Linked DNA regions of Caenorhabditis elegans. The protein of the gene in region 1 purifies or fractionates together with the protein of each later gene. This does not show direct contact. Each region holds a gene or a part of one and is shown in the gene's direction. Other genes may lie near its edges.

Region 1 (4,964 bases):
CAGTCATATAGAGCATTTTCATATGCGAAGTGTATAAAATTTATATTTCTACAAGAAGTTGCCTAAAATAGCCACAAAAATAGTGTTTTCGAATTTTCTTCAATAAAGGGATGTGGCTCAAAAACGTTGAGTTCCATCAATCATTAGGCATTTGGCAGGAAGAAAAGATTAGCTACAGCAAAAAAAGATAGAAAAGTAGTATAAGTATTTATTTTTCAAATACATTTTCCAGTCCGAATTCGGTCAACTACACGGGGCCATTAACCAGAACATCAACTATGGATACTGTTGAGTTGGAGGCATTGTTGAGGAGAGAACAACATTTCGTTGTACCATCGTACAGTGAAGTTATGCTCATGCAAAATACGATTGCTAATTCAAATGTAAGGTTTTTTTTAAATATTAAAATTTTAAGATCATTTGCTCCTGATAAATATTTATTAATCGCTCTGATAATATTGTAGACCAATTATCCAAATATTCGATGCCTGGACCCTGTGATTCTTCCACGACCATTCGTGAGTACAACTAACGAACATATCGTACTTCGGAACTATGGAGCAACAGAAACCGACAATTCACTATCTGAGCCCATTACAGCAACGCCGAGACCTCTTAGAGTTAGCCGAAGTATGACATTTGCTGCTCAAGGAAATCTCGAAGAATCAGCTGAGAATCTGAGTTGTTTAGAAAACGGAAGTAGAGCAAATCGTGCTATTCCATCGAGTCGGCGGAATTTGCCGTTACGTTCGTTATCGATAGGTGGTATTTCTGCTTGGTCCAATGGTTACAGAGAAATTGGAAATCCTGATGATTCACAACTACTCATTGAACCAGATGAACCACCTCCACCATATGAGGTCGGTTTTCAATTTATAATGGAAATGACAATTTATTTCTCAGGTTGCTCTCAGAATGTGTGCTCCATTATATGAACGCCTACGACGATCAATATCTTCACGATTGGCTTCAATTTCTCACTCGAGCTCGAAGGATTTGAAGTCGCTAACTTTGAAAAGTAGTTCTAGTAACAATAATAACAATAATTCAAACAACAATAATAACGATGATCCAGAACATCCATAAAATCGGGTATTTTTTCACATGCGGACCAATTTTAAGAATTGTTAAACGTTGGTGCTTGAAATAAATAATTTTTCTGATTTTTTTTTATTTTCAAGTTTAAAAAAATTGTGTTTCAAGTTATTCGATTAAAAGCGTTGTTTTTATTGCCTTATTAAATGGTAAAAAGCAATCAATTTTTAAAGGAGCGTCCACTGAATACGAGGAGATGGTCTCGGCACGAAATATAAAAAACTACAGTACCCTTGGAAGTATTGGCGCGGAAATTTTTTTTTATTCAGTTATTTATCTGTTCAGTTTTCGTATTTTTGATGTTAAAACTCCATTTTTCTCTTCAAAATTTGTATTAAAAATCACTGGGCAACGCATTTTCACTATTACAGAAGTATTTTTGATGAAATCTTCAAGAAATTCACATGTTTCTTTGTTTAAAATTTTAGGATTTGACGGTTTCGGTTTTTAGGCCAAAAAACTCCGTTACCAGTTTTAATTTCGTTCTGATTCCGTGAGGCAATGCTTCACTAATCACATTTTTCACGAAATACAAAGTCTTGCTTGAAAATTTAACAAAAAACTCCAATACTCTCGCAAAATCTTGAATATGGCCATTTTATTTGATGTAATTATTTCTTTTACAGATAAATACTTCAAACCAACCAATCCATCTATCTGACAAGCTAATGTCCAGAGATAAACCACCTCAACGTGAGGTTGGCGGACGTCGGTTGCCCTACGAAATGGGTTCGTTGAAGTTCGACGAAGACCCGTTCCGCGGACAGCGCCGGCGTCCGTGGATGTGCTTCAGAATCGGCTATCCGACAAGCGAGTTCTCATCAGAGCACTTCATGTACGTTCAAATTATTCAAAAATTATTGAAAAAACGTATTGTTTCAGGAAATTCGTGAAAAGGTGTCACACTTCGATGATAGAAGTAGGTATTCTTCTCGATGATGAACGGGAATTCCTGCAATATCAAGAAGTCAGGGAAGATTATCTTCTTCTGAAAAAGCTCATCGAGGAAGGTCTGCAGAAGTGTGAAACGATCTATGAAAAAGGACCGCTGTCGACTCCGGTTGTTTTTTTCATTTTAGACCAGTGCGGTAAGAAAAGTAAATTATACATAACGTGTATAAATATTCACTCATACAGACGAAGACGAAGTCCAAAACATGCTGGATATGTTTAGGGAGTCTTGTTATATCTTCCATATGAAACGCAACGAAATTCTCAACTGGATCAACGAAATGGAGTATGAAGAACTGGAGTGAGTAAATGTTCAGCATAACGTCGAAAAAATTCATATTTCAGAAGTGACTGCTCTAAATTTGCACAGTTCATCAAAGGAGTGGAAAATCTGACGGAATCCATCGCGATGCCCATGGAGGTAGAAACAGAGTAGGCTATCTAGAAGGAAAAAATAATTAAAAAACATCTAACTTTCATAGAGAATTCATCTTTGGAAAGAGTTCGATTGTATCGACCGAAGACTTTGTTGAAGACGCCCCTCACAAGCAGATCGCACAAGATCAACGCGAAACAAGGTATCGTTACCATGTTGTAAACTTTCTATTCAAAAATTTTGCAATATCTCTTCGTTCATATTAGACTTATGGCCTAGCTATTTCTTTCTTTTTCCACACGTCCAACATAGATAGACAGTTCGAGACGTAGAGAAAAACAGAAAAACCGTGACTAGTTGCTTCCCCTGTGATTGATATGCTTTTTTTTCACAAATTCGAAAAAAATAATCTGAATAAGCATGTTTTCACATCAGAATTTGTTAAACAGTGTGTTTGGAAATACTGAAATATTCCCTTGACTCGCAGGATTTAACGAATAATTATTTCAAAATTTTCGATTGTTTTTCTCAATAACATCAATAATTTTTCCTGAATTCCTGATATTGCTTTTAAAAATATATAATAGAATTGGTGACCTTTGTTAAATCATTGATAATCGCAGTGGCTTTTGTTTTTATTCTCGTTTCATAAACAACGTGAATCGTGGTAGCGGAAAAAAAACCACATTTATCGTGTTCCCATCTTTCCCCAGAAACCTGGCCGCGTTCCTTTTCACTGTAGTAAACGCGGATTTTTGTGGGCATACTGATTTCGTTAGAAAATACTTTTTCTTAAAATGCTAGAGCTCTCCGCGTTCTCTCATAATGTATAATTAAATTATCTTGTTTCAGACCAATTCGCCAACCGTATTCAATGGTCAGAAACCTCGCCCCCCCAGGGCTCCCGCCGCCTGGAATTTCGATTTCAAACAGTTCGCCTCCTGGATTATCTTCAGTTTCGCCAATTCCCCGAGCAGATACACGCGAATCCCGTTATTCCACCCCTCAACCACCCGGATTGTCAATTCCAGCACCACCTGGAATATCTCTTCCAACTCCACCAGGAATATCTCTTCAAAATCATCAGAATGATCAATTCGAGCAAGCTCATAGTACCATTTCGAGAATGAGCGAGAATAGTTCATCTTCGAGGCGTCGATTCCGCGATGAAGAAGTTCAGGAAGAAGAAGGAGATCATATTCTATCGTCTGAAGATGTACATGCTGCGCGGAACGTGTGTGAAACCAAAATCCTTGTTAGAGGAGTTCCGCAAAAGAACGATTCTGAGTTGGTAAGATCTATTCATTTTTGTGATAAACTGCAACCTGTGAGTTATTTCGGCAATTTCCGGAAAACTAATCTTCAATAAACACGAAATTAATATTAAAATTTTAATTTTCAGTCCAAGCTCATCAACGGATCAAAACTATACGTACGGTTCGAACGTCCGTTTGTAAAACTAGCTCACAATCTAGAACTTCTCTACGTTGTCAATTATGCTATCAGTTCTCGAAAAAGTATTGTTCGGGATCACAGTAAAGCAATTATTCGCGGATTGTTCGAAAAGGATTTTCTACTGAAGCTCAAAAGTAAATTCCTGGAAAGCTCGTTTGACAATGACACGTGGACTCCCGAGGGTACAGAATTGCTATTCGAAATCTTTCATTTGTTTTTCACAACGGCTCGATACAAGGGTGGATTCATGCTGACACTTCCGAGATTTGTAAGTTGAAATAAACTGAAAATTTTAAAAGTAAACATTATTATAGGCGCCGTCTTGGCATGATTTCTCGATGGCTTTCGATATTGCTGACATGGATGGACTTGAGGAAGCTGGTGTGGGTGATGATGAGCTTAGAAATCTTAGGAGGCTGATTGGTTACATTGAAACATGGATCAAACGGGCAGAACGGGAACGAAACCCCAGTCCATTGGCGCTGCGGTCATATTCAGTGTACGAAAAAGCTGGTTCTTCTGACAGTGGACGCCAAGTTTTATCTGAAAGTCGAGGTGCAGGTTCCAGCAATGTTTATGGTCATGACGAGGTGGATTTCGTCGATCACAGACGCAGAGACGAGTTCGGACATCGTGATAACTACCGGACAGAAAACCGTCGCCATAAAAGCCCGGACAATTTTGGAGAAGTTCACAGAAGGCTCGATGAGCAACAACAACAACGACATGAGGATGAATCATCAAGATATCGCGATGACTCGAGACAGTCTCGACGAGCAGATGATAGAAGAGATCAATATCAGTACAACGAATCAACATCTATGGAAAATCACTTGGGGTTTCACAACGGCGGTGGCACCGTCAGTGAGCACTCACGAGATGATAAATTCGTTTCGCCTCAAAATTGTGAAGAAAAACGCAAATATTGCGAAGAGGACACAGATGCGAAACCACAACAACCATATCGCTTTGAGGAGATAAAATTCGAACCAATTTGGGTGAAATGTGAAAAATCAGAACCGCCAGAGGATTTTAAGGTAAAAAAGTGCAAGCTATCAAGGCATAATTGTTTTTTTTTCAGACGTTG
Region 2 (5,639 bases), on another chromosome or scaffold:
CAAAATCGTATAAACTTGAGTTCAAACAATTTCTGTTGTTAAAAAAACTTTAGCAAAATCCGTCAATAATTCCGTTTTTAATTTTGAAATATACTTTTCAGAGAGAATTGGCTCGTCAAATCTTTGACCTGATCATTGAAATGTTTGATGCTCTTGGAAAAGCTGGACTTCCAGAAATGAGAGCTGGATTATGTATTGGAGGAGTCCCAATTGGCGAACAAGCTAAAGACGTTAGAGAGTGAGTGATTAGAATTTCGAATTTTATGATTTTCATTATTTTCAGTGGTATTCATATTGTTGTTGCGACACCAGGACGACTATCTGATATGCTTACCAAGAAAATTATAAATTTAGAAGTAAGACATAACTTCAAAGATTTCAAAAATTGCTTCAATTTATTACAGGTTTGCCGTTACTTAGTTCTAGATGAAGCTGATCGAATGCTTGATATGGGATTTGAAGATGAAATTAAATCAATTTTCTATTTCTTCAAAGCTCAACGGCAAACTCTCCTTTTCTCGGCTACGATGCCACGAAAGATTCAATTTTTCGCAAAATCAGCACTGGTCAAACCTATTGTAAGTTTTATTTATGCAATCGAGAAGTTTCAAAAATATAATTTTTTAACCTACTCCCAAAAGTTGTCATTCTTCAATTCTTAAAGAATAATTTTTCAGGAGTTTGTCTGTAAATTATAAATATTTTAGGTCGTAAATGTTGGACGTGCGGGTGCTGCTTCATTGAACGTACTCCAGGAGCTTGAGTTTGTTCGATCAGAAAACAAATTGGTTCGTGTACTTGAATGCCTTCAAAAGACTTCTCCCAAGTAAGATTTTATTTATCAGAAAATAATTAATTTAGAAATATGGCAACGGTTTTATATTTCAGAGTTTTGATTTTTGCCGAAAAGAAAGTTGACGTTGACAATATCTACGAGTACTTGCTTGTAAAAGGAGTTGAAGTTGCTTCAATTCACGGAGGAAAAGATCAAAGTGACCGTCATGCTGGAATTGAGGCATTCCGAAAAAATGAGAAAGATGTACTTGTGGCAACAGATGTTGCATCAAAAGGACTCGATTTCCAAGGAATTGAACATGTTATCAATTTTGACATGCCTGAAGATATTGAGAACTATGGTGAATTTCTTATTTATTTTTCATAATTGAATTTTTATTTTCAGTTCATCGAATTGGTCGTACCGGACGTTCCGGACGGAAAGGTCTCGCAACGACATTTATCAACAAAAAATCGGAGATGTCAGTGCTTTCCGACTTGAAACAATTACTCGCAGAAGCAGGGCAGGAACTTCCAGAATTTCTCAAAATGTTGGCTGGTGACGAGGAGGGAACTGCTCCAGCTGGCACAAATGCGGAAAAGGTAGTTAGAAAACATTTAGAAAATCGGGAAGTTCAACATGTTTTCAGGGATGCGCATACTGCTCCGGTCTGGGTCATCGCATCACAGATTGTCCAAAACTCGCTGGAATCGGAAACAAAACGACGCAAGCATTGGCAAGAGGTGGAGGCGACGATGGTGGTTTCTGATTATTTTATTCATACATTGTATCTCAATCTATTTATTTACTGTTTTCTTGTTTACATTTATAAAAATATTTGTCAGAATTGTACTATTTATTTCATGTTTAAAAAAAGTCTGGATTTCCGAGAAAACATGAAAATAATTAATTGATCGAGTTCATTGAAAAAGAAAAATGAATTAAATGCATTCTCAAAATTCTTTTTTTTAAAGGAGACACCACGGTTTCAAGATCTGATGGGAGTCCGGATCTACGTTTTCCGGATCTACCATTTCCGGATCTACGTTTTCCGGATCTACGTTTTCCGGATCTGGCACCGTGCAAACTCTTAAAACGCTATTTTTTCGAAGAAAAAAGTGACAACGACGCTCCGATGTTACGCGTCGCGTGTTGTTAAGCGTTTCTTCTAGAAGAAAATTTCGAAAAAAGTCGTGCGTTGAAAAGCGTTTTGTGCGTTGGCACGGTGCCAGATCCGGAAAACGTAGATCCGGAAAACGTAGATCCGGAAAACGTAGATCCGGAAATGGTAGATCCGGAAAACGTAGATCCGGAATCCCATCAGATCTTGAAACCGTGGTGCCTCTTAAAGAGTCGATTCTTTAAAGGAACACAGACTTTCACACCGTTTAGGTTTCGCCACGCGCCCCAACTACAGTAACCTCGACACACTCATCTACTAAATTTTGGGACAGTTCCTAATTCTTTTTGCTGTTTTCAACTCAATTTTCTGGAAAAATCTTAATTTTCTGCGAAAATGTCTGATGGTTGGAGTGATAGCGAAAGTGCTGCTAAGGGTGAGTTTTATTTTGAACTTTCCACCGGTTTTATTTTGATTAAAAACTTTATTTCAGCCAAAACTGGATTCGGTAGTGGAGGCGGTTTCGGTGGTGGTAACAATGGAGGATCTGGGTTTGGTGGTGGTAAAAATGGAGGTACTGGATTCGGTGGAGGAAACACTGGCGGATCTGGATTCGGTGGAGGAAACACTGGCGGATCTGGATTCGGTGGAGGAAAGACTGGCGGTTCTGGATTTGGAGGTGGAAATACTTGTGGATCCGGCTTCGGTGGAGGCAGTACAGGAGGATCGCCGTATGGAGGAGCCAGTTCTGGATTCGGTGGTAGTACTGCCACATCTGGATTTGGAAGCGGTGAAAAATCAAGTGCATTTGGAGGATCAGGTGGCTTTGGAGGTAGTGCAACTGGATTCGGAAGTGGAGGAGGATCCTTTGGAGGTGGCAACTCTGGTTTTGGGGAAGGAGGACATGGCGGCGGAGAGAGAAACAATAGTTCGTTTTTTAAATTGACTTTATATAATTACGTTTGTTTCAGATTGTTTCAATTGCCAACAGCCAGGACATCGATCGAGTGACTGTCCAGAGCCGAGAAAGGAAAGAGAGCCGAGAGGTTTTATTTTGATATAACTTTATTGGCAGTAATTTGTTTTATTTTCAGTGTGCTACAATTGCCAGCAACCCGGGCACACCTCTCGTGAATGTACAGAAGAACGCAAGCCGCGTGAGGGTCGCACTGGTGGATTCGGGGGCGGAGCTGGATTTGGAAACAATGGAGGAAATGACGGTTTCGGTGGGGACGGTGGTTTTGGTGGAGGCGAAGAACGTGGTCCAATGAAATGTTTCAACTGTAAAGGCGAGGGACATCGCTCTGCTGAATGTCCGGAGCCACCCCGTGGATGTTTCAATTGTGGCGAGCAAGGTCATCGCTCGAATGAGTGCCCCAATCCAGCCAAGCCAAGGGAAGGTGTTGAAGGAGAAGGACCTAAGGCGACATACGTGCCAGTCGAAGACAACATGGAGGACGTTTTCAACATGCAGAAAATTTCGGAAGGCCTTATGTTCAACAAGTTTTTCGATGCCGAAGTTAAACTGACTTCATCCGAGAAGACTGTCGGTATCAAACCTTGCAAGACATTCGCGGAAGCTAATCTCACGGAGACCATGCAGAAAAACGTTGCTCATGCTGGATACTCCAAGACCACTCCAATTCAGCAATATGCTCTTCCACTTGTTCATCAGGGATATGATATCATGGCTTGTGCTCAAACTGGATCAGGAAAAACCGCTGCATTCCTTCTGCCTATCATGACTCGTCTCATTGACGATAATAATCTGAACACTGCCGGAGAAGGCGGTTGCTATCCCCGTTGCATCATCTTGACTCCAACTCGCGAACTCGCTGATCAAATTTACAACGAGGGAAGAAAGTTTGCTTATCAAACAATGATGGAGATCAAACCAGTTTACGGAGGATTGGCTGTCGGTTATAATAAGGGTCAGATCGAAAAGGGAGCCACGATCATTGTCGGAACTGTCGGAAGAATCAAGCACTTCTGTGAAGAGGGTACCATCAAGCTTGACAAATGCCGCTTCTTTGTTCTTGACGAGGCTGATCGTATGATCGATGCTATGGGATTCGGAACTGACATCGAAACTATTGTCAATTATGACAGTATGCCGAGGAAAGAAAATCGCCAGACACTCATGTTCAGTGCCACTTTCCCCGATTCTGTACAGGAAGCAGCTCGCGCTTTTCTCAGAGAAAACTACGTGATGATTGCAATCGACAAGATTGGAGCTGCAAACAAGTGCGTCCTACAGGAATTCGAGAGATGCGAAAGAAGCGAGAAGAAGGACAAACTTCTAGAGCTTCTGGGAATCGATATCGACAGTTACACGACCGAGAAAAGTGAGTTTTTCGTTTTCTTATTTGATGAAATAAATTTCAATATTTCAGGTGCCGAAGTTTACACAAAGAAAACCATGGTCTTCGTTTCTCAAAGAGCAATGGCTGATACACTGGCTTCAATTTTGTCATCGGCTCAAGTTCCAGCTATCACGGTTGGTATATTTCATTTTTGACCGCTTTTTAATTCAAAATGTACAGATCCATGGTGCCCGTGAGCAGAGAGAGCGTTCAGAAGCTTTGAGACAATTCCGAAATGGATCGAAACCTGTTCTTATTGCTACTGCGGTCGCTGAACGTGGACTTGATATCAAAGGAGTGGATCATGTCATCAACTATGACATGCCAGACAACATTGATGACTATATCCATCGTATCGGAAGGTCAGTTATATTTTATTAATGTTTCAATAATGCAAGCATTGTTTTCAGAACTGGAAGAGTTGGAAACTCTGGAAGAGCTACAAGCTTCATCTCGGAGGATTGCAGTCTTCTGTCCGAACTTGTTGGTGTTCTCGCCGACGCACAACAGATTGTTCCAGACTGGATGCAAGGTGCTGCTGGAGGCAATTACGGAGCTAGTGGATTTGGGTCCAGTGTACCAACTCAAGTCCCTCAAGATGAAGAAGGCTGGTAGAAAACCGACCAATTGATAGTGTTTCGCATTTATTAATGCTGTCAGTTCCCCCATATTTTATCCTGCCCTTGTTGATTTTTAATTGTATTTGTTGGTGTTGGTTGTCGTTATAGTCCTCGCCGCATAAACTCTGTTCAATATCATGCTGTTCACGACTTCAACTATTAGTTGCATATTAAATGAAAAGAATTTTAACAAGCAAACTAGGCAATATGATCTCATATCACATTGCTCTCTCAGCTAATCAACTTCAATAATTTGTTTTCCGATTCTCCGCGGCGAGCATTTTTCCGCATACAGAAACTTTAGGCTCAATTCTTTATTTATTTTCTTTTTTGCTCTTCTCTCACTCGCTCATTTCCGGTCGATTTACATTCGTTTTTTCGCTTTCCTCTCACCTGCTTTTTTGCTCCCGTATTTTTTCTGTTGGCTTTGCCATTCCATTTACGGTTTGCTCAGTGATCACAATCAGGAAATAGAGTTTGAGAAGAAGAGTATTAGGGAAAAGAGGAAGAGATGATGCTTAGTTTCTGTTTCGCTGTGGCATTTCCTGTGTGCTTGTCTATCAATTTCTTCAAATATATTTTTAGTAATACTGTAGTAAGGTGTATTCTCAGTAGCACGTGGTGGGGTCCCACTGCGAGAGGGGTACTGTAACATACAATTTTTTGCGAAAATGTTTTCAGCTCCTATCTGCAAGTCGTCATCTCATTTTTTCTTAAATAAGTGCACATTTTCTATTCCGTTTCGTTTATTAACTAATAAA

What was found. The genes of interacting proteins can lie anywhere in the genome.
Region 2: the proteins of znfx-1 (region 1) and glh-1 purify together in Caenorhabditis elegans (affinity purification with western blotting, with the first as the bait; one study listed by BioGRID). This does not show direct contact.

Annotation. Positions count from the first base shown.
Region 1 is NC_003280.10:9,211,939-9,216,902, forward strand, and holds the start of znfx-1 (NFX1-type zinc finger-containing protein 1 homolog), read left to right. Parts: upstream 1-1,763; coding exon 1,764-1,930; intron 1,931-1,977; coding exon 1,978-2,183; intron 2,184-2,232; coding exon 2,233-2,347; intron 2,348-2,391; coding exon 2,392-2,478; intron 2,479-2,528; coding exon 2,529-2,624; intron 2,625-3,274; coding exon 3,275-3,713; intron 3,714-3,824; coding exon 3,825-4,145; intron 4,146-4,191; coding exon 4,192-4,914; intron 4,915-4,958; coding exon 4,959-4,964. Other genes in the region: ZK1067.4 (Transmembrane protein 151 homolog), read left to right, coding at 233-383, 465-860, 904-1,086. UniProt on the Caenorhabditis elegans protein: Epigenetic inheritance factor which, in association with the Argonaute protein wago-4, mediates small RNA-directed transgenerational epigenetic inheritance and thus balances the transgenerational inheritance of epigenetic information.
Region 2 is NC_003279.8:6,852,521-6,858,159, forward strand, and holds glh-1 (ATP-dependent RNA helicase glh-1), read left to right. Parts: upstream 1-1,957; 5' UTR 1,958-2,291; coding exon 2,292-2,331; intron 2,332-2,388; coding exon 2,389-2,823; intron 2,824-2,866; coding exon 2,867-2,941; intron 2,942-2,989; coding exon 2,990-4,240; intron 4,241-4,288; coding exon 4,289-4,392; intron 4,393-4,438; coding exon 4,439-4,620; intron 4,621-4,668; coding exon 4,669-4,873; 3' UTR 4,874-5,016; downstream 5,017-5,639. Other genes in the region: sacy-1 (RNA helicase), read left to right, coding at 102-238, 284-356, 405-578, 708-826, 889-1,136, 1,181-1,377, 1,425-1,544. UniProt on the Caenorhabditis elegans protein: Probable ATP-binding RNA helicase. May act redundantly with the P-granule component glh-4 to regulate the formation of the granular structure of P-granules in embryos. Plays a role in positively regulating the localization of pgl-1 to P-granules.